Alligator mississippiensis: one gene and its partners. The protein of the gene in region 2 interacts with the protein of the main gene of each other region in a pairwise test. Links are inferred from orthologs where the notes say so. Each region holds a gene or a part of one and is shown on either strand. Other genes may lie near its edges.

The links.
Region 1: the proteins of ARL6IP1 (region 2) and MYG1 interact in binary tests that used the Homo sapiens proteins (3 or more experiments, as listed by UniProt). The two-hybrid records come from large-scale screens. The link is inferred for Alligator mississippiensis from reciprocal best matches to the Homo sapiens genes ARL6IP1 and MYG1.
Region 3: the proteins of ARL6IP1 (region 2) and SNX12 interact in binary tests that used the Homo sapiens proteins (3 or more experiments, as listed by UniProt). The two-hybrid records come from large-scale screens. The link is inferred for Alligator mississippiensis from reciprocal best matches to the Homo sapiens genes ARL6IP1 and SNX12.

The regions. Positions count from the first base shown.
Region 1 is NC_081838.1:8,882,679-8,890,382, forward strand, and holds the start of MYG1 (MYG1 exonuclease), read right to left. Parts: upstream 3,014-7,704; 5' UTR 2,982-3,013; coding exon 2,829-2,981; intron 2,365-2,828; coding exon 2,252-2,364; intron 1,997-2,251; coding exon 1,837-1,996; intron 1,354-1,836; coding exon 1,204-1,353; intron 704-1,203; coding exon 581-703; intron 243-580; coding exon 61-242; intron 1-60. UniProt on the Homo sapiens protein: 3'-5' RNA exonuclease which cleaves in situ on specific transcripts in both nucleus and mitochondrion. Involved in regulating spatially segregated organellar RNA processing, acts as a coordinator of nucleo-mitochondrial crosstalk.
Region 2 is NC_081836.1:44,689,225-44,697,017, reverse strand, and holds the start of ARL6IP1 (ADP-ribosylation factor-like protein 6-interacting protein 1), read left to right. Parts: upstream 1-4,786; 5' UTR 4,787-4,859; coding exon 4,860-4,895; intron 4,896-7,396; coding exon 7,397-7,530; intron 7,531-7,793. UniProt on the Homo sapiens protein: Positively regulates SLC1A1/EAAC1-mediated glutamate transport by increasing its affinity for glutamate in a PKC activity-dependent manner.
Region 3 is NC_081831.1:83,126,780-83,134,493, reverse strand, and holds the start of SNX12 (sorting nexin-12), read left to right. Parts: upstream 1-4,701; 5' UTR 4,702-4,739; coding exon 4,740-4,904; intron 4,905-5,176; coding exon 5,177-5,272; intron 5,273-5,553; coding exon 5,554-5,678; intron 5,679-6,185; coding exon 6,186-6,288; 3' UTR 6,289-7,714. Other genes in the region: FOXO4 (forkhead box protein O4), read right to left, coding at 1,501-1,926. UniProt on the Homo sapiens protein: May be involved in several stages of intracellular trafficking.

The DNA.
Region 1 (7,704 bases), on a different chromosome or scaffold from region 2:
GTAGCCAGCTCAGACCCCACTACCCCCACCTTGAGGGTACATGGGGGGAGGGGTCCTCACCGGCTGTGGAAGCTGTGCAGCGTGGCAGGGACGCTCTGTACGCGCCACCGCCCGTTCTGGTCCGGGTACAGCACGAACTTGATGGGTGTCTCCACACCCAGCTCTGCCTCCAGGCTGAAGAGGTGCTCCTTCCAGGGGCAGCCGCCGCTCGGCAGCACCAGGATCTCCCCACTGGGGTCCACCTGGGGGAGAGGGAGGCAGGGAGAAGCATGGGGCTCTGTGCCTTGCCCAGGATGTCAATACCCCCTTGCTGGGACCTGGCACCCCCCAGCTCCCCTCACTTTGCCGACTGGGAGTGGACCCTCGCCTGCACTTCATCTATGATGCCCACAAGCTCCGTAGTACAGATAATTGTTACTGCCAAAGGAAACCCATGCGCTTGGCAAGAGCAGAGACCATCCCAGCAGGGGCCATGCTGGGAGCAAGGACTCCTGGGTTGTATCCCTGTGCTGTGGGGGCAGGTCCTGGCTTAGCAATAGCCTTGTAGAAGGCCAGGGTGCCTCCCCAGGGCAGAAGGTACCTCAAAGCGCTTCTGAACGGCATCCTCCACCAGGGTGCGGGCAGGCAGCCAGGCGCGGTGGTAGTAATCCAGCCGGTCCAGGAACTCGGCCTTCACCAGCTCCATCGCCTTCTGGAACTGGGTCTGCAGGGGGGGCAGACAGCTGGTGTAGGACCGGCCTAACCCAGGCGCACAGTCAGGCCCACTCTGCCACCCACCTTCCAGGGCATCCCTGGACCCTGGGGGGTGCTCAGCTCTACCGTGTGCAGGAAGAGCAGGTGCCCGTCCATGGCAGCACGAGGGGGAGTGGATCCAGCTGGCTTCTGGCTGGCGAGGCTGTGAGCCCTGACGCCATGTGGCTTCTTCCTCTACACACGTGTCCACGGGACAGGTCACCTCTATCTGCTCCCTGCTACATGCCTCATGGTCCAGCCCACCCCCTACCTTCATCTGCTTCTCCCCCTCCATGTGTGACCACGGTACAGCCTGACCTATGCCAGGATCAGCTCCTCCCTTTACATGTGCCCAACGATATCTTTGAAGATGGCATCCCCCCCCCCCACCTGTGTGACAGCTGAACGATTTTGGGGGCACTTCTGGTCTCATGAATTGCCCTCTCTTCCCTGATCCCCCACAGGCCTCACCTCAGTGTCCTGGTTGGGGTCATTCCAGCGGGGGTTGAGCAAGCCGACGCGAGCACTCAGGTCCGTGGTCACGGCATAGCGGGGCTTCCCGTCCAACTGTGCCACCCCATTGTCGATGGCATCGATCTCCTCCATGAAGTTCTCGTAGAGCTGCCGGGGCAGAAGGAGGTGGTAGGGCTCAGCGGGACAGTCCCTCCTGTCCCCAAAACACCCGAGGAGTCCGGATCTGAGCCTGCCTTGGAGGGTCGTCTGCTCCCGTGACCCACTGTGCCACAGAGAAGACCCCGTAGGCTGGCACTGCCACCTGGAGCAAGCGTGACTGGCGGGAGAGCACCAAGGGAAGCCCAGGAAGCCGTGGATGCCATGTGTCTCTCCCTAGCAAGTGGGGTCTAGCGCAGCAATCCTCAACCAGGTGGCCACGGTGCTCAGAGCTCCCTTCAATGGTGCTGCGGGTGCCACACAGAGTACGCCATGAGCTGTGCCAATGCAGTGTCAGCGGGCGGGGGCAGGGAGCTAGGACTCCTGGGTTCTGCCACGTTTCCAGGTCCGGGAGGGGAGGGGCAGGTAGAGCAGGGACTTTTCCTGCACAGGCAGTCGCTGTTAGGACTCCCCTAGCACCCCCCTGCCACATACCTTATCGTACAGCAGCTGCACCACGGGGTCGTCCTCCGCGCGCCCCAGCAGGTGGGCCAGGATCTGGGAGCCGAAATGCAAGTACACCAGCCCCGCGCTGCTCAGCTTGGTCGTCCACGGCTTGTCGGGCCTCAGGTCGTGCATGGACTGCGAGAAGGACCTGCCCGGCCCCGGAGAATCAGCCCCGTGGCCTCCCCCGCGCCCCAGCACAGCCAGCGGGACCCCGCGGCGCCGGGTGCTGCACGGACCCTGCGGCTCAGAGTCCGAGGAGGGGAAACCGAGGCAGGGCAAAGCCAAGCCACGGGGGTTCCCGGCAGGTACGGGGCCAAGCTGGTGTCCGGAGGACCAGTGCCGCGCTCCAGCCTCTGGCCCGCTCCCTCTTGCAAAGGGAGACGGGGAAGGGGCCCGGGCTCACCTCTGGTGATGGTCGTAGCGGTGCCGCTGCGGGTCGTACTCGCCGCCCACGTCCACCACCACGTCGCACTGGGCCAGCAGCTGGGGCTCCCGCGTCCGCACGATCTCTGCATCCTTGGGGGAGGGAAGGTGCCCGTGAGGGGGCCGGAGGCCCCCCCACCGCGTACTGGGGATGGGACCCACAAACACCCCCAGCCCCACCTGCACCAGGGTCCCCGTAAGGCCCTGGACACCCCAAAGCCCTGGGGCAGGTGGGGGGGGGGGGGCACAGACCCCGGGGTGCTGCGTTGGGGGGGGGTCCCGCGGAGGGGGGCAAGGGGAGCCCGGCTGCAGGTCCTGGGGGGGGGGTTTCATTGGAGACAGTGCAGGGGGCCACGCATCCCACGGCGGGGGGGGGGGTCCCAGATGTGGGGAGAGGTCCCAGGTGCAGGGGGGTCGTGGCAAGGCGAGGGGGGGCACAGAGTACAAGGTGGGGGGGGTCTGCGGACCCAGGGGGGGGGCTTGGAAGGGGGCGGGGCCAGCGGGGGTAGTAGGAGGGTCCCCGCGGGCAGTCCCACGTGCAGGGGGGGGGTCCGTACTCGGTAGCGGGGCAGCACCCGCAGCAGGGTGCAGGCCAGCGCCTCGTCGCAGTGGAAGTTGCCGTCGTGGGTGCCGAGGCGCGGGGCGCGGCCGGGAGCGGGACTCGCCATGTGGCGCAGCAGTGACCGGGCGGCGCGGAACCCCGTGCCCATGTCCTCCCGCCACTGCGCATGCGCCGGACATGCGCAGACGCCACGGAGAAGCCGCTGCCCGCAGCTGCTTGCCCGGTCGTGGGCGCCCACCTAGGGGCAAGGAGGTCCCTTCACGACCCTGCGCCTGGGGGATGGACAGGACACTGCACCCATCACACCCCAGGGTGCACTGGCACCACCTCCAGCACCAGCTTGTGGGGATTTTCTTCCAGCCACTGACCTGCTCCCAGCCCTCCCCTGCAGGAGGCGGGGTGGCATGGGGCTCATCTCATACTGGGATGCACTGGGCCACGGTGCACAGGGTGTCCTCATGGGACCCTGCAGGGAGCTGCAACCTCCCATGGCAGCCCCCCTGCCCCGCACGAGATACGTCCTGGACTGTACTGGGATACGGCCTAAAGAAAGGTCTTCATGGGAACTGGGACCACTGGTCCAGACCGGCACAAACCTCTAGCAAAAGCCTGGCGCCAACGCACTGAAACCTCCCATGGCAGCCCCTGCACCATCCCTGCGTGAGGAGGGGTTGAATATTGCTCATTGTGGACTATACTGGGATACAGGCTACAGGGAGGTCTTCATGGGAACTGGGACCACTGGTATGGCCTGGCACAAACCTAAAGGAGGAGAAAACCTGTCTGGCTTTTCGAAGCCAATGCACTGAAACCAGCCGGGGCAGCCCCAGGACCATCCCTGGGGTGGTTGAGGAGGGAACATACTGGGATACAGCCTCCAGGGAGGTCTTTATGTGGACTGGGACCACTGGTACGGACTGGAACAAACCTCTAAAGGAAGAGGAAGCCCGGCGGGCTTTTCCAAACCAACGCACTGAAACCTCCCATGGCAGCCTCTGGACCTTCTCCGGGGGCTTCAGTGCGAGGAAGGACTGAATATTGCTCATTCTGGAATATACTGGGATACGGCTTATGGGGAGGTCTTTATGTGAACTGGGACCACTGGTGCAAACCTGCATTGGAAACCTGGAGGGCTTTTCCAGAGCCAATGCACCAAAACCAACTCTGACAGCCCCGGGTCTTCTCTGGGGTCTCCTGTGTGAAGCGGGGCTGAATATTGCACATACTGGAATATAATGGGATACGGCCTGCGGGGAGGTCTTCATGTGAACTAGGAGCACAGGTGTGGACCGGCACCACGCGAAGGGTGAGGAGCCCCCGTGAGCGCGGCAGGAATTCATCGCCAGCCCAAGAAGCCCCCAAACGGCCACGCTGATGTGAGCTTTCCACAAAGCGACAGGCTTTATTAATAAGGTAACAGCATATTACAGTTATGCATGTAAGACAGCATCCAGCGTCCTGTGCAAAGCTCTGAAGGAGATTTCACATTCAAACGCATTTCTTTCCGGCTTCTCGTGTCCATTAGAAAAAGCTCAAGGCGAACAAGAGGGGAGGGGGAAAACAGGCAGCAATCACCTCTAGTCATCACTATAATTAAAAATAGAGATTTCTCAATTAGGTCTTCCTACAGATAAAGTGCACGGCCTTCCTGTCCTCTAGTACACAAGGCAACGACAGAAATCTGTTTCACAGTCGGAAGCGTCTCATGGGATTGTACACGCCTGTTTTACACGCCGAAGAGGGGGGGACGGGGGAGCGTTGCCGCGTCTACCAACCCAAAAGCAGCTTTAAATACGATTTCTAGGTTTAAAATTCAATTTACAGTTTACAATAAAGCATTTCCACCTATATTAAATAGTTATGGACATGTCAACAATCAATCATCTGGCAATTTGTTGCAATCATTCCTTGGATTCGTAACATATATGTATAGCTATATATAGATATCTATCTATATAGATATAGTTAGATCTATCTTTATCTCTCTAGATATATCTATATATCTATGTATATCTATGTAGATAGATATATCTATCTATATCTCTAGCTACATAGATATATCTCTCTATATCCCTATCTCTATCTATATAGATAGATACATCTATATCCCTATCTATATAGATAAATCTAGCTATCTATATCCCTATCTATATCTATATAGATAGACAGATCTATCCATCTCTCTATATAGATAGATCTATCTATCTATATCTATATAGACAGATCTATCTATATCTCTATATAGATAGAGATAAGTATAGATAAATCTATCTATATAGATATAGACAGAGATAGAGAGATATAGATATATATAATTTTTTTATTAACAGGCTCAATATTAAAAAGCCAACCAACTCTATCCCCCCACCCCCCCAAAAAAACACACGTTCTTCTAGCTGAGATAATATCAGACCTGTGTTTTTTATCTGGTCCCTGACGTGCTGAGTTTCTCTCAACATTTATTGCAGTGCTAATTCTTGCCCATGGCCTTTTCCACGCATTGGTTTACCCAGAATGGCAGACATGAAGTGGGATATACGCAGAACGGACCTTCACGCAGCAACTGTCACTTCCTGGCACAGCAATACTGATGTAAAGCTGGAATTATAGGGGTAAGACGCAGTTTATAGCCGCTGAAAAATAATCATCGCGGCCATGGCGCGTCGGGTGGCTGTGCTGAGCTTGGGCTGAGAGCGTGAGGAAGGGAGTCATGGGTGTCATTCAACACTGGGTTACATCACAGCTCATTCAAAAGGGTCTCTTGAAGGAAAAAATGATATTTTTTGGAAAATTCCCTGTTTCCAGAAAACAGGAAATCCCGCAACATCAGACGCTTTCCCATCGAAGATGGGATCTGAGAGTTGTGAAATAAATTTTAAAAGAAAAGGTCAGTTGTGGAAGCCAAGTCCATTCCCTGACCACTTCCAACTTGTATCTGGACTCCTATTTTTAAAGCCCCCTACATCTGAGCCCCTGAAAAGGGAACAGTCCCGTGCCTATTCGAAGCGGGAGCAACTGGGATGAGGTCTCCCCTTCTGCCCCAGTGCTGCGGTGCCTCGTCATGGCCAAGTTTCCATCCTGAAGGAGATCGAGCTCAGTCCGGCACAACGCCTCTCCTCCGGTCTGCAAAGGGGAGATGTTGCTAGCGGCACAGATGCAAACACCAAGAAACCTCCCATCATTTTCAGCGATGGCTGTGGGTGAAAAGCAGCCATAAATGTCCCTGCCCTGAACAGCTTCCAGTCTAAAAGGCACGAGTGGGTGTGACGGGAAGGGGACTCCGGTTTGGGAGGGCAAGGTGGGTTGCTTACTTCCCATGGGAGCTGGGCTTGGGGAGAGAAGAGCTGATCCAAGCAGTAGCAGCAGCATGGAAACAAGCCACATCACTGACAGTGGGGCAAAGGGGCCAAGGGAACAGCAAGCCCCAGAAGAACGTGGGTGGATCGCGTGGAGGAGGGAAGGCAAGGAGATACACAGCTGGATGCAGGAAACCCGTGGAGAGGGCTGGCTATCTCAGCAGCAGGACTGCAAGGAGCCTGGAGAGGATGGGGGGAGATGGAGCATGTTGGGGTCAAAACCAGACCTCTCCCCCACCCTTCAGAAATGGGGCCCAACACGTTGCTTGGGTGCAAGCAGATAGGCGACTCGAAGGGGCAGGCACCACGGGATGAGTTGCCGGGAGGAGGGTTGGAGCCATTTTCAAGGCAGCGCTTCCTTATGAATAAATTGGGTGCTTGGCTAAAGGAATCGCTTCAGCACGTTCGGGGAACCATCCCGTTGTTTGCTCCCTCCCAGAAAGCTTTCAGGCTTCCTCTGGAGGTTGTTCTCCTTGGAGACGTCACCCCCACCCCCATGAAAAATTGCATTCGGCTTCACCCCCGTTATGCAAGAAGCTCAGATTGCAAGAGAGTTTTGGAAGTCGGAGGAAGGAACGAGGATGCTGCAGTGCCCGGCGCTGATTTAGCCCCAGAAGGAAGCCAGGAAGAGGCAGAAGATGAGGCAGGAGGGTAGAAGCAGGTGCCAAGAGTGGCAGAAAGTCGCCAGGACTGAGGCAGGAAGAGGACAGGCATTTAGCAGAGCGCCGAGGCCGTGAAGCGCATGCATGTAACGGAGAAAGTCTTTGCAGACACTGAATTTTTGCTATGAGCGAGGAGGTCCAAGGAGACCGCTCAGACTGGGGCATGGAGGGGCAAACAGGACCAGGAGGGGAACCGGGTAGCATGCAGGATCCAGCAGGACTAGATAAAAGACCAGAGAATGAAGCGAGGGGAGAGTCCGGCCCAGAGCTGCAGAAGCAGACAAGACATTTTCAGCAGCAACAGGTCACAGCCAGGATACAAGACACGTCCGTGTTTTAAGGCACCAAAAAAAGCTGACAATTGTATTAAGACACAGTGATTTTCCTAGGAGGGGAGGGGAGGGGAGGGGAGGGGAGGGGAGGGGAGGGAGGATGGCGGGAGGGACATTCACTGCACTAAAAGCGAGCTCAAGGCACGTTGTTGTCCAAGGATCCGCTTTCATGCTTGCCCTTTCAGCGACAACGGCTGGGCTGAAGGGAGTTTGCCAGAAGAGGCCGGGCGTTATTTTAGACAGGATTATTTGTTTCCCAGGATATATCCGAGGAGCTTGTTAATCATTCCAGACAGGTGGATTTAAAAAAAAAAATTTTTAACCCTGGGTATGAATCAAATTCCCCTTTGTAAATGTTTATAGACCCATCTTAAAAAAACCCCTCTGTATTTTAAAAGACTGACACGTGCGCACACACATGCGTGCACACACACACACACACACACACACGCACACTGCTACCCACACTCCTGAACTCTGCCCATTTAAAGTGCGTTCGAGTGCCGACGTGCTGATACACC
Region 2 (7,793 bases):
CTGGAAGGCAGCGGGATTCCAAGGCTTGTTATCAAAGAAAATTCTTGTGGTTCCTCTTGTTTCATCCTCTAACTGTTCCTATGATGCAAGGTAGGAGGGCTTTAAAAATACGGTCTTACAATATAAAGGAAGTATTGCCAACAGATCCTGTCTACACAGTAATGAACATAAACTAGCTCTTGCAAGCATATCTAATGTTTATGCAATATCTTCACAACTGGGGTAATTAATAAGAGCCCCTGAGGAGCATGAAACAGAACAGGCACTTCTAGATTCTGATCTAAAGCAGCTTCAATCACCTGCCACTTTTGTGACTCAGCCAACTAGTATTAGGTAATGGGATAGGATAATGTTGCAGGCTTCTGATGACCAAAACCCATTAAACCTGTTCAGTGCATGGAGCTGCAGCAACAGAACAATACATGTGAATTCTCTGTACGGAGAACTCTTTGGAAGATGGCCATCCATGACTGCTACCAGGCTATAGCTACCAATCTTGATGTTGGTAGATCAGCTGCTGGATCTGTTGTAACAGGTGAGTACTTTATCAAGGAGGTATTGTCTCCTAAGCAGTAATGGGTAGTGCAGGTCAGGGGATCCCAAAGTGTTGGTTTTTGCACTAGACCTAGGAGTTCACCAACAGATTAGAATTTTCTATGGTGAGGCAAGGCCTGATTGCTGACTATGGGAACTGCACCATTAGTTATATAAGGTGGTCTGGAAAGGCTCAGGAGGAAGTGTTTAACTACGCCCTGGCTGTGTCTACATGAGACACTAACTGTTCAGTAGCTTGCTACTACTGTGCAGTAATGTCACGTGGCACAAAGTGTGACATGATGCTACTGTGCAGTAGTAATGAGCTACTGTGCAGTTGGCATCACCTAAAAGCCATTTGGCAGCACTACTGCACAGGTACTCCAGTTACTGCGCAGTCATTTAGTACTTGTCTACAGTCATTTAGTACTTGAGGGGTAAAGGAAGAAATCTGATGTTGGGAGCTGGAGGCTGATGAGAAACATCTACCTTTTATTGAAAGCTCCTTGCCATTTTGGCACAACCTTCGTGAAACTAAGGGAGACAGCCTCATGAATGGATAGGAGAAGGAGCTGGGCAGGTTTCCTGAGTGTTTTGAATAACATCTACAAAGTGCTACTGTTCTTCTGAGGGACAGAAACATAGATACAACATGCTCCTGATGCTTCATGTTGTGTTGTGGGGATTTTTATCTTATTTTGTGTATATTTCCTGTTTAAAGAATATTGTGCAAAGCTCTGCAGCTGAGTGCAGACAAGGTTGCACTTTTACAATGTTTCCTATCATCCCTACTGCTGTCTATGAGGTGGTAGCCTGCTCCAGTCCCTTCTCTCCCTTCTCTATACTAGTGCTATCATGGAAAAAAAACAAGTGGTTACTGTATCCAGGCCAATAGTGGTAAAACAGTGCCCTTTCCTCAGGGCATAGGCTCTTCATCTCAGTTCTATGAGATTATGCAGATGACAAAACTCCACAACCTTCCCAGTCCCTGGGACTCCTGGGTCTATGATAGGTGAGTGACAAGTGGCAGGGGGCTGTTGTTAGAAAAGATTAACAACTACAATAGGCTCTCGATGTAGGGGCAGTTGTGGCAGCTCACTTAAGGTGCAATCCCACTCACCTCAGCAGCTGACCGGTTTCATTCATGTAAAGCTAAGGCACTTTGCCAGCTGAGGCATCTAAGTCAATGGGGAAAAGTGCAGTTCCACAGGTAATGTGTAGGAGGGGCATGTGGGGGCATGTACCCTCCTGAAATTGGCCACTGCCGAAGCCACTGTTGGCTTCTGCGGGTAGTTGCTGCCTGCACCTGCCCACCCCCACCTTGCTGCTGACACAACCGGCAGTGCCACCCCCCGCCACTGACGGTCCCTGCTTGCTGCCATGGTGCCCCCCAGTCTTGGGAGGCACCAGTTGTTCATGTGCCAGTGTTCATAGGGGCATTTTAGATTACAAGTTAGTAAGATCTTATCTTCCACAAGAAAAAATCCAATGTATAACGAATCTCTCACCAACCTATTTCTACTTCACCCAGTAACATCAGTAAGAGCATGGTTCAGCTTTTGGAATGCGGCCTTTGACGCCTACGTAATGGTTTCCCAGGCTTAGCACATGCACGTAGGCAAAGGTAGTTTAAATCAGTCGAAATCCAGGTGAATGAGCATGTGCAGTATCTGGTGCTGCAGATTCTTCTGCAGCGCCATACATGCAGGTATTCGCTGCACGGCTAATTTGCAGCATGGGCAGAGGGGAGGGATTCTGACACTGAGAGATCCCAGTGACAAAAAAACCCTGCACCTAAAAAAAGCAGAGTGGTGCATGTGGTGGCAGCATGCACCACCCGAAACTGGAGCCTAACTGGCTGGAGCCACACTCTGGCTGCCAGCCCAGCCTCCCTGCTGCTGGATTGGCGCGACTGCAGCCCCTGGAGGCCCATGGGACCCCAGGTAAGGCTGCTGGGATGAGTCCAGGTGCTGGCCCCAGCCTCCCTTACCTCAGCCAGGGCAACTTGCTGCCTGCCACAGCATGCGTGCACAGGCGCTCCCCAGGGACAAGCAGCAGCAGCGCAACTGTGTCACTGCTATTTTCTTCCCGGGAAAATTCACGTGCACGCTCTTCTGGATGTGCCCAGTGTGTCTATTCAGCAGGCACCTCATGGACATGATGTGCATAGCCCCTTAAGGTGTCTTTTCTTCAGTCAGGTGTGCAAGAGAACACCTTTCTCTGCAACGGACCTCCCAGAAATAGTGATGAGAGATGCCTGCATTCAGGAATTACCTCTACATCACCTTTTTCATGGCTGCATGTAACTTCTACAGCAATTTGATTCCCTAAGGCTTCCATTCGTGTGTTCCCCCTCTCCCAATTTGAGAGGGATCTCTATCTGGGGAATCTATATAATATTATCAGTATTGCTAGTTTGTGCCTTGAGCCCTTAGCGACCTGTTCTCTATTCTAAGAGTCAGGGAAGAGGCCTTTTTGTTCCTCAATATTACATCTCCTCCAAGTGTAAGATTCAGGTTCTCAGAGCTGATCCCCTTCCACGGTGCTGTTTTGAAGACAGGATCTCACACAGCACTCTGCACAAATTCCTGTCCTGAGTTGTACGAGGTGTATGTGAACCTATGTATTCATTTCCCAGTTTTCTTCACTGACCACAGTGCGAACTTTGTACTTCATACACTGGTGGTAGGAAGGGTCTGGTTACTTTAACAGGACAAAATCCTATGGGAACATACCTAGACTGTCTTTGCTAATAGGATAGAAAGTTAGGCAACAGTCTCACAGAGATTATTAAAATGCGTCTCTAAGCATATAACATGCAGTGAACTTGCTGAGTCAGATTCCTGCAGCCATTATAGAGCCTATTTCAGTAGAGATCCAGCACTGTTTTCCCCTGCTTGAAAAACATCGAGCAGTTAATATACTGTGGTCCACGTCCATATTTAAGGATCCCAGGTACGACCAGAATATAAGTAACACCATATTCAGCATAGGTAGGATAGGTGAATATGGTAGCAGTCCACATTCGCAGGACCTTGCTGTCTGGGAAAGGCTTCAGATTGTACACTTATATGGCTATCCTCTCATCCTTGTTTAAATAGGACTCTTGCTGTTGACAGCCAAGGTGACCATCGACTGTTTTAGTCACAACACTGGTATCTATGTGGGAGCCCCATCAACCACCGTGCACTCAAAGGAGGGAGCCTTAAAGTTGCTTGTTTAACTGCAGGGGTTTTTTAACCTCACAGGAGGTATAATTCACAAGATGCATCCTCCATGCAGATTGCCTCTCTAGTGCTGCAGCGTCTTACCGGGCCAGGCGTTCATCGGGGCTGCCTGGGGCCGCCCAACCTTTCAGCCCTGTGGGCCAGATGCTGGCGCGGGTGTCAGGCTGGGGTCTGGCGTGTCGGCCCAACCCTGCGTGCCAGCCCCGTCCGGTGCGCCGTGGCACGGCATCCAGCCCGCAGGCCCGGCCATTTGGCGTCAGGGAAGCAGCAATTAACACTGATGTGGCCGGAGATGGGGCACCACTCGTTAAGCTAAGGAGCTGAGGCACAGCGGGACCTGCTCTGAACCGCGTGCGCTGGGCGAGGGCCACGATGCCGCGAGGGCCCCGGCGCCGCGGGGAAAGACAACAGGCGCGAGCAGACATGGATGCAGGGCAGCACCGGACGGCAACAGGCTGCTCCTGGCTTCCCCTCCTTCCCGGGGCACGGAAGATTAGCAGACTGTCGGTCGTTGGTCTGAGGGCACGGGCAGACGAGACTCTCTGAGTAAATGGGAGGTTTTTTATTAGACCCACTGAAAAGTTGGAAAAATTGTTCTGTGCAAGCTTTGGGAGACACACTTTTTTTTAATTATTAAAATGATCTATCTATCCATATACATATATGTGTGTGTGTGTGTGTGTGTGTGTGTGTGTACACGTACGTGTATATTTGTTCAGACCAGGCGAACACGCGGGGGCAAGTGTCGCGGGGGGAGGAGCTCGGGCCGTGGGCCGCACTGGAACGAGGCTGTGGCCCCGCCCCCCGCGCTCGTCGCTCGAGACCGAGACAGTTGGCCGTTGACACCGCCCCAGGGCAGAGGCGCAGACAGAAGAGAGCCACGCCCCGATTGGCAGCTGCCCGCTTTCAAATAGCGACGCTCTGGGATTGGTCCGGCCACTCGTTCAAGTCGACCAATCGTTGCGTAGACTTCAGCGGACCCCGCCCCCACGCCGTGTCCATAAAGGGCGGCGCCGCCAACCCGGCGCAGTGCTCGGCGAGCAGCTAGCTGGGGCGGGCGCAGTGTTTGGCTGGTGGGAGCGTGCGGACCCGCACAAGATGGCGGACGGAGACAACAAGAGCACCAACCAGCTGGTGAGCGGCCGGGCCGGGCGGGGCTGCTTCCGCCTCCGTTCTCCTCCTCGCCCTCAGCTGCTGCACCCGAGCCGGGCGAGGCCTACCCCAGCTCCTGCGCCGCAGTCTCCCCGGGCTGTGCCGCAGCAATGGCCCGCGCCTTCGCTCTCCCCTGGCTCGGCTCCCCTGGGCCCGTGCCCTGGTGCGCCCTTGCCCTTCCCCTAGGCAGCGGGGAGGCCTCTGCGGCTTGGGGCCCGGCTGCCTCCCCGCCCCACATCGGGCTCTGCGCTTTCTCCTCTCGGCTTTCGACTCCTAGCGCTTGGCTTGGCCCCTGCCCCAGGCTCTGTGTCTCCCCTAAAGGGCTGGGCTGCTTTCTCCTTAGTCTGGATTCGGGACAGAGCAGCTGACACTGCAGCTCCATCTCCACCCCTGTCTCACATAAGCCTGTGGCATCTCTGATTCAGTTAGTCTGTAAGGTGCACCTCTTCTCACTCCAGGGTTTTTATGCTTTTGCTTCGGAGAGACAGGAAGGCTTGAAACAGCCAGGTGTAGGGGCCTTGCTCTGGACGAAGTGGGGAATACGCAGATGGCTTTAAACACAGGTTCAGGCAGGAACTGAAAATGAGGGCTGGGGAGTCAGAGGTAGTAGCAGAAATAATCGTGGGAGGAAGGGGGAGGGCGGCTTTGAAGGGTGACATTGAGGAACGAAAGGAGTGATATTTTGTCTGCAGTTTCAGATTGGACTTGATGGCCCAGGAGGTCCCTTCCAGTTCCTTGTTTTTGAAAAGTGAGGCACTCAAACGGTGTTGAGAGCTGAAAGAAGCTCCTAGAAGGAGCTTTGAAAAAGTAGTAGAAAGGAGGAAGCAGCAGCAGATGAGAGTGAGACTCAGGCACTCGGCTAGAAAGGGTCTCTTGGAAGCTGGGAGGTGCTGCATGCGGCATAACTACAATACCTGGGCTAGGGAGGGGAGGTGGCTGAAATTGCCTGACTTAATGGGAGAGAAGGCTTGGGAGGGGCAAGCATTTGAATGAAGGTTGAGGAGGTGATGGACAGGAGGAGTTGGCACCTGTTCTCTGCCTATTTGCATGGGAGAACAAGTACACTTGCTACCTGCTTTGTGTGCTGGCAGAAGTCAGGCTGTTATTCCTGACAGCTGTATTCTAACCTTTGTCCTGCTAAAGTGCCTCTTGTGTAATGGGTAACTTAAGATGAGTTCCCTTTTCTGAGTGATTGCTGGTGGCCCCAGATACTGAAGTAACACAAACATAGACTTGTCTGTTGACAGCAGGCTTTTGTCTCCTAGTTTGGAAAATGAGAAATTGAGGCTATTTCTAGAAAGTGTGAAGTAGATATACTTATTGTTGGTACAGTTATCTTTAATGTGGAAGGTAGATAGGGCAGGACATATAGATATAACTGATCTGATAATTGCATCTAGGTTTTGATCATCACATGCAGATTTTACACTGACTACTTTGGGTTTTTTGTTTTAAGTTATTTCTACCTTCCCTCTCCCTAGGAAAATAGTCCCTTTTTGTGATACCAGCAATCTTTCCTATTTTCCCCATGGACAGCAAGCTTATCAGCTATATTTAATGTGTTACATATGACCTGAGGCAACGGTAAAGAGGCTGGCGTAGGCATTTTTTTTAAGTTGGATTGCCGTGTGACTAGTCAGATGTGAAACTACCTTTTTTTTTTTCTATTTTTGACCATTTCTGAGTTAACATCACCTTTTGTCATTCATACATATAATTTAAAAGAATGCAAGCCAAAAATTGTTCAGTTTATGGTATCTCATAAATAAATGTACTAAGTACATTGTACTAGTGTACCCAAGTACTTTTGGGTGCTACTCTTGGAAATGTGTGTTTTAATTCTTTGATTTTTTTTTTTTTTTTTCCCACTATTAAAAAAATTCCAAATAGGTTTTTCTGCTTTTTGTCTAACTCAAAATGGAGTGAGAAGCAGTGAAACGGACTGGATGTAAGGGCAGTAAAATACATGTACTAAATACTGGATAGGGTGGGGGACTTGAATTCAGTTTTAGTTTTTAAAAAAGAGGACACTTTGAATTCCTTACAAATGCTTTCTCTATGCTGGAGAATCTTATGATTGGCAGACTAGTTAATCTCCCAAACAAAAGTCTTCCTCCCTCCCTTTCTTTTTCTGAAGGGATGAGCTTCAGGTTGGGATGCAGAATAGCTTAGGAGATCTAAAGACACCTTATCTTGGAGGACATGTTACTACATAATCTGCTGTGAAAATCTTAACCTTACTGTCTTCATTAAAACCACAGAGTTACAGTGCCAAGTTGTATGACTGAGGAAAAACTGGTGGAAGAACATTTAACTGAAAAGGATTGACTGTGTCCTGTACCTATAGAAGAATAATTTATTTTAGTGTGGCTTTGCAAGCACAAATACTTAATGAAAAATTTAGTGCATGTAGTAAATAATTCATATGTAAGTACCCATGTGACTTTCTAATTAGTGACAACTTTAAATGTCTTTTTATGCAGGCTGCAGAGACTGCCAGCTTGGAAGAGCAGTTACAAGGATGGGGAGAAGTAATTCTGGTAACTGACAAAATCCTTCGTTGGGAAAAAGTATGGTTTCCACTTGCAGTAATGGGTACTGTTACCTTTGCTTTCCTGTAAGTAGTCTGCATTATTTTTGCCAGAAAATCAACTGAAGCTTTCTCCTTAAAAATACCACCTGGGAAAGTTTTGCTCCAGTATCTCTTGCTTAATATAGACAGTAAGGTCTAAGATTTTTTTGTAAGAGCAGTAGTAACAGGAGGGTGCACAAGACCTCTTGCTCTGAGGCCAGCAGTGATTGCATGTTTCACTGATCCTTTTATTTATCCTTTCTGACCTTGGTTGTTAAAAATGTCCTTTATGAGTTGCTGTTGCTCTA
Region 3 (7,714 bases), on a different chromosome or scaffold from region 2:
GAGATCCACAGTGCCAGTGCCAGGGCGACAAGGAGACCTCTGCTCGTTCCCAAACCCCTTCACGACACACACGAATCTGTCTGCCGCCCCACAAACACAGCCTGCTTCCCTTGTAGGATTCCATCGCCCAATGAGTGGCTGAAATCATGGTTTTTCATTAGACTTCAATCTCCCCAGTACCTTTTAAGTGGAAAAGTGTTGCCAGCCACCTCCAAATAGAGCAGTGGAACAGCGACTGCGGGCCACTCCCAGCCCTGCGCACCAGGGCAGCACATGCCTTGTACAAGACTTCAAAGTGCCTCGTCCCATGTCGCTCTGTCTGCAAGCTTCACCTACTTACTCCAAGACTTGGATGCGGCTGGCTGAAGAGGTTACAGTGCAGATCTCTCTTTCACAGTTAGTCAGAGGCCAAGAAAGTTGCTTTAAAGTTACATCTGGCGGAGAACTTGATGGGACTCTGCTCCATACAAAATCCCATTGGTCACTGCCTACAGAACACGCAGACGCTCTTTGTCTAACGGGCAACGCAGAGAGCAGGGAATCACCATCAGCTCCACCGCTATTAGCCAGAATGACAGCACGTCGTTTGCTGCAGCTGGGGGTAGGTCAGGACACCCTGCCTTGACTACAGGGGCTGGAAAACTCCCCTTCAGATGAACCCAAGCTACCTGAGAGACAGGAAATATGTCCAGGTGTGCACAGCAACGCATGCTGGCAAAACCTCCCATAACAACTATGTGCCAGTTTGATTCCACTGGGATTGAAAAGACTCATAGGGGGAATTCCTGGTTTTCAGTCAAGCTACTCGGCCTCTCCAGCCAGCCACCACGCCCCGGGGAAGGGGACAAACAGGACAGCGCAACGGCACGGGAAAGAGTTCAGACCCACTCCACACGCCGCCAGGAGGGCGGCTGCAAGACCCTGCTCTTGAGGTAAGAGCCGCCTCATCGTCTCCAGGGCTCGCCCGCGCCTGTCCCCAGGGTATTGGGCAGGCACAACCAGCCACGAGGCCCCGCAGAACGGCAAACCTCTCGCCGCTGCCCTGGCTCCTGGGGAAACCGCTGCAGCACGCCGTGCCTCGGGTGCAACCGCGTTCGCGCTGTGCCCTCGTCAGCTGCCCTCACTGGGGCAGATGAAAACGCCCCCCGCCGCCACCTGCCACGTGCACTGTGCACGGCCGTGCCGGCGCTCAGAGCAGGGGCTGCTGCGGGCAGGACAAGCGCCGCAAGCCCACGCCGCACCTGGAGCAGCTGTGCCCGGCTCCCGCTGCAGGACGAGAGACGCCGTCTGACCGCAAACAAGCACCAGCCCCAGGCGCCCCGGAGCACAGGCGCGTCCCACGCGCGGTCAGCCGCCGAGGACTCGCCCCGCAGCGCCCGTCCCGCCAGGCCCCGGGCCCCGCTGCCAGCACGGCGGGCCAGGCCGCACGCGGGCAGAGGGGGCTCCAGCACGGAACAGCCCCGGGCCGGGGCAGCCCGCCCGCCCGCCCGCCCGCGGTACCTTCCAGCCGGCAGAGCTGTTGCTGTCGCCCTTGTCCTTGAAGTAGGGCACGGAGCGCACCATCCACTCGTAGATCTGCGCCAGCGTGAGGCGCTTGTCGGGCGCGCTGTCGATGGCTTGGCTGATCAGCTCGGCGTAAGACTGGTTGCCCCACGCGTTGCGGCGGGAGCCGCCCTTGCGCGCCGCCCGCGCCGCCTCCGCCCGCCCGGGCCCCGCCGCCGCCCCGGGCCCCGCCGCCGCAGCCGCCGCCTCCCCGGGCCCCGCCGCCGCCGCCGCCCCGGGCCCCGCCGCCTCGGGCTCGGGCTCGGCCGCGGGCTGCGCGCCCGCGAGTTCAGGCCGCGGCAGGGGCCAGGTGCAGGAACGCGGCCGACTCTGCGGCGCGAAGTCGGGGTCGAGCTCGAGGTCCAGCCCCGCCGCCGCCGCCATGGCCCCTCAGCGCCGCCTCATGCCCGTCGCGGCCCGGCCGCTGCCGCCGCCTCACGGCTCTGTTTACCACGGCCCGCGGCGTCTGCGCATGCGCCCGCGAGGCATGCCGGGGCGGGGAGTTTCCAACGCGCCGGACCCCGCTCGCCGCGCCGGCGCCAGGACTCGGCTTCCCGTCAGCCCCCGCGCCGCAAAGGAGGGCGGGGGCACGGAAAGGCATCGTGGCAGGGCTGGTGTGGAGGCGGACTACAGCTCCCAGGATGCTCCGCGGGGGGTGCCGGAAGCGTGCCTTACATAACACCCCCGACTTCCTCCCAAACAGGCGGTGCGTCACTCGCGCTTCCCCCCCCCGGTAGGCTGTGCCCGAGGTCGAGCCGCCTCGCTCCGCCGGCTGTGCCTCCTGCACGCCTCGGGGACGTCGGCACTCGCCGCCCCCCTCAGTCCAGGAGCTGGTGCTCAACGCGGGGGCAGCAAGGCCCGCCTCCCGCCAGCCTGCCCGTATCCAATATGGCTGGCGCCTGCTGCAACTGGCCGGATGAAGCCAGCCTGGCGCCGCCATCACTACGGGCAGGCGAGGGCCCTACGGGAGCCGGCAGCAGCCGGCTGCTGCTGTAGAACGGTGATATCCGGGGTCTCAACACATTTTAACATCGGCACATACAGCCTAGATTTATCTAAAACTCGAGGTTTTTGAACGGGAAGGCTTTTATCAGTGCTGCTCTTCCTTAAACAGAGACCAAACGTGTGCTGGAAGACGGGTAATGCTTTTCAGACCTTGCGTGAGGCCTGGCGTGTGCAACTCATGTTACTTGTGCCCAGAGCATGTGCAGGGGCTGCGTGACACCACCACCTGGGACAGGGCATCCTGGGTCAGGGGAGCAGAGAGCAAATGAAGGCTCCATAACCACATCCTCCGCTCCCTCTTGAGCTGCCCGTGTTGAAAGACATTATCATTCAGAGCCCGAACGCCACCCCTGCACGCAGTGGCAGGGAAGCGGGGAAACTAGGAGCTGAGGAGAGAGTGCAAAAACCCCATGGTTGATGTTCAAAATACCTCGCAGATTAGGGGCCTCATTGCTGCTTTCTGCTCTCTTGAGGACAGGATGAGGATGCCTGAGACCAGTTGCCTTTTGTAGGAGTCTTCCACCCTGATGTATGCGTTACTATAGAAACAGCAAGTAATAATAGTATTAGCAGCAGCAGTGGTGAAACCCAACCCCCCGGGGTCTGGAGACTGCAGCTTCCCCAGGCACGGCGGAGCCTCCCCGCGGATGTGGGGGACCGTTGGAAAAGGAGCTGGGCAGCACAGCCCGGAGATGGCCGGTTCTTAGGGGCTGCAGGCCGTGCTGTTCGGGATGGGACCCACCCGTGTTTTTACGTGTGCCCTGCAGCGTGGGTCCAGAGACCTGTTGAAAGCCAGTGAAGGGGACTGATGCAGGCTTGTGTCCACCCAAGGCACAGTCCTGCTTCTTGTGCAGCACTATGTCCCTCTGCACAATTGCTGCCTGGCAGGCTGAAGACACTTCATAACCCTGCAGCTCCAGGAGCACCTGCACCTCTTTCCCCTTCACGGTCATTCCCCGTCCAGGGTGGGATTCCACGTCTCCCACTCCCAGGCTGTGCCTTGGCCTAGGGCATCCTCTGTGTCCATCAGACTCGCTCCCCTCGCCCCCACCCAGCTGCTTTCGATGCCTGAAGTTCGTCCTGCAGAAGACTGTGACCGGAGAGCTGCCTTAGACCCAAAGCCCTGCTTATTCCCACTTCTCACAGAGCCTGGAGAGGAAAGGCTTTGCACCAACACTGCCCATTCGTGTCCGTCAGGCCTGACCTCCACCAAGGGGTTTGCAAGTCCTTCAGAAGGTCTTAGGGCATCCCAGTGTCTGTCTGGTTCCCCAACCATTCCCGTTTCCCCCTGGAAAAAGACCACAACTTCCTGTGCGGCCACAGCCCCGTTCTCTGCCGGGTCCCAGGCCTCTGCCTGCCACCACTGGTCTGGGGGTTGCACGGGGAGCCAAGCCGACCCTGCCATTCTTCTCTAGCAGTGCGTGCGAAGGGCTGGTTTATCCTGAGCCTTTCTTCTTCCTTCCTGCTGGTTTTCCTCCCTGCCGGCTGTTCGGCTCAGCCAACACGGGCACCCGGCGACCCGGCTGTGCGTGGTTTGTGGCTGACGGCCCTGCCCGCCTGGGACCACCATGGAGGTTGATGGGAGCGTGAGGGCGCTCCCTGTGCTCGCCTGCCAGTCTAGGGAGCTGGGGCCTGGCACGGCCGTCCTGTGCCAACAGCTGCCCAAGCCCCTAAGGCAGCAGAGCCGCGCTGCGGGCGGGGCGGGGGCTGCACACCCAGCCCGAGGCCCGCGGAGCGCGCTGATGTATGCGGGGGGGCCCAGCGCCACGTGGGGTGCACGTGACGCCCTAACGGGCCCGCAGCGCCGGGTGGGGTGGGGGTGTCTGCATATGCACGCACACGCGCGGCGGTGCCGGCGTGCAGCCGGCTCGCCCCTTTGCTACTCATGTTCCGGGGCGGGCGGGCGGGCGGATGAAGCGCGCCGGCCGGGACCCTGCGTGCCCCGGCGTGCGGGCGCCCCGGTGGGGCTGGGCCGGGCCGGGCCGGGCCGGGCCGCGGTGCCGGCGCGCAGGGTCCGCGGGCTCGGGCGGGGCGGGGCGGGCGCTCAGCTCCCCGGCCCCTGAATGTGGGCGGGGCGGGGCGGGGCGCGGCCATGCGCGTTGCGGGGCCAGCGCCGGGCGCCCCGGAACCTGGCTGGGCGGGGCGGCGCGGGAGGCGGGGCGGGGCTGTGCGGCGGCGGCGGCGGCGGCACCATGTCGGAGGCGGCGGTGGCCGACACCCGGCGCCTGAACGCGAAGCCGCAGGACCTGACGGACGCCTACGGGCCGCCCAGCAACTTCCTCGAGATCGACATCTTCAACCCGCAGACCGTGGGCGTGGGCCGCGCGCGCTACACCAGCTACGAGCTGCGCATGCGGGTGGGTGCGGGCCGCGCCGCGCCGGGGGAGGGGGCCGCGCTCGCCCGCCCGCCCGCCCGCCCGCCCCGGGCCCTCGCCGCGCCCCGGGACCCGGGCGCTCACGGCCGGGCGGTGTCGGAGCGCGGGGCCGGGCCGGGCCGGGGAGCCGCCAGGTGCGCTGTAGGCCGGGCAGGCGGGCGGTCTGAGCCGGTGCAGTGCCGCCGGGCCGGCCCCGTGCCGGCACCTGCGTGGAGCCCGGGCGCCCGCCCGTTAACCGCGCCTCTGCCTTGCAGACAAACCTCCCCATCTTCAAGCTGAAGGAGTCGTGCGTGAGGCGGCGGTACAGCGACTTCGAGTGGCTGAAGAACGAGCTGGAGCGAGACAGCAAGGTGAGCGCCCGGCCCGGCCCGGCCCGGCCTGCCCTGGTCTCCACCGCCGGGGGGGAGGGACGGACACACTTGAGCTGCTGCCCCTTGTCCCTCTGTGGGGGGGAGGTTCCCAGGGCACGACGCCTGCCCTGCCCTGCCCTGCCCTGCCCTGCCCTGCCCTGCCCTGCCCTGCCCAGCCGGGGCAGCGGGTGGCTTCAGGACCGTGGCCTGCAGGGCTGCCGAGGGGCTGCCCCCCGCGGGCGCACACTGGGCTCTTGGCTGACGCGGGCGCGTGCTTCCAGATTGTAGTGCCGCCGCTGCCCGGGAAAGCCTTGAAACGACAGCTCCCGTTCCGGGGTGACGAGGGGATCTTTGAGGAGTCTTTCATCGAGGAGAGGAGGCAGGGGCTAGAACAGTTTATTAACAAGTAAGCATCACGAGTCGGCACGGGACGTGGCTGGGGCGGTGAAGGGCTGTCTGCTGCTGCTGGGGCCGTGGCCGCTGCCCTCACCGCAGCGCGCAGCTGGCAAAGCTGCAGCTCTGAAGGGATCGCTGCTGTGTGTTGCCCCTTCCCTCTGTGTCGGGGGCTGTGCGCGTGCCGCTGGCTCCTGCGGGGTGCTGAGCAGTGCAGGCCCCTGGGCCTTTCTGCCTCTTGTGCTGGTGCTGAGGCTGCTGCTGCTGTCACTTGGAGACAGCAGCCAGGCGAGGGGAAGGGGGAGCTGGAGCGTGGCACAGGGCCCTGGCATGACCGACTGGGTGCTGCGTCCGTGTGGGTAGGATCAGACCCACAGTGAGGCTCTGTTCTGCACTAACAAGATGGGAGTGGGACCTCCTCCCTTGCAGGCAAAGGTGGCGAGTGTGTCCTTGCTTCCCACAGCATGGGACGAGGCCTGGGCTGGGCAGGCACTAACCTCCGCTCCCGGTTCCCTTGCAGAATCGCCGGACACCCTCTGGCACAGAACGAGCGCTGCTTACACATGTTCCTGCAGGAGGAGACCATCGACAGGAACTACGTCCCAGGGAAAGTCCGTCAGTAGGAGAGCCCGGCACTCTGTCTTCCTCCATTCCACCTTCCTCCTGCAGAAATGACATTTATTTTTACACTAAATCTGTCTCCTCTGAACCAGCTTCTCTCTGAACCTCCCAGTTTCTCCAGTATTTTTTTCTCTTTTCGTATCTGGCAGCAGCGTTGATATCTGCTGGGCTTTGATCTGGGCCTGAAGGTGTGAAGACGCATGCAGTGTATCTGTGGTGGCAGGAGCGAGTAGGTGTGTGACGGGACTGGCACGAGGCATTATTGCAGTGTATGGAAGCTGCCCCTCTCCCCTCACAGAAGGCTCCAAAGTGACCTTTGCTTCCCTGTCCACGCAGCCCCGAGCATATCTAAAGGAAACTGAGCAGAACAGTGATTGTCGCCGGTCAGCCGCGGCAGCAGGTGCTGGGGAGATAGTAAGGCTTACCCAGAAACTCCGGTGCTGGGGCAGGCAGCTGGTCCTTGCCCATCCCATGCCTCCTCCCGCATGAACCCTCCCTCTTCCGCTGCCCAGTCCTGAGGCCCAGGATTCTGCTCTACCCCCTGCTCCAGGCCTCCTGCCTTGCAGGCCTGCTCAGCACAGCGGGGCTCATCCCTCCCCCACCCCATGCTCTCTCCTATGCTGCTGGCAGCTTTGGGGACGTCTCCATCGCCTGAGCTCTCATGGAGCAGTCCAGTATGTTTGGAAGGGGGTTGGGCTGGGCCTGGGCTGCTGAGGCTGCAAGCATGTGTAGCTGAGGAGTTGAGAACGTGCCAAGGCTTGGCCCAGTGCAGGGGGGGGTCTGGTCAGGCTTTGCAGCACCCAGTGAACAGACTTGTGTTGGCTGCTTCTTGCGTTGGTCTCCTCAGGCTTGGCTTCTTCCTTTCACTTCTCGGGAGGTGGGGGGCCTGGCAGGGTGAGTGGGGCACTGCTACTCCCAGACTGAGTGGTGCTGACTGCTGCTTGCCCCCCTCGGGAACGCTCTTGCAATCAGTGTGGGGCAGGAGCTGTTAGATCCAAACTAGCACTAGATGTGCTACCAGTTGCAAGGTGCCCCGGTTGTTGCCCCTCCCTGTGCCTCGCTGCTGCTCCCCCGCCCTGCGAAGCTTTGAGGCCAGGCACTTACTAGTGTGGGCAAAAAGGCACGGACTATTCAGGCAGCTCTTTAAAAGCACTTTCCTCAGAGGGTGCAGAAGGCTGCGAGCCGGTCCCTTCATGGATTTGCTTCTTGGTGCACTTGCCTCTTTGCTCTCCAAACTCAGTTGCTTGCCGTGGATGGGGGACCCTTGTGCAGAGGGGGACCTGGAGGGGCAGTGGGTGTCTTGGCTCTGGAGAGAGGAGGCTTCTGCCTTTTTTGTATTGATCTGCAGTGACCTGACCTCCTGGCCGTGGGGATGCCCAGGCTCCTGCTGGCCAGCGCATCCACTGAGCTATTCACGCGGGGCTCCCC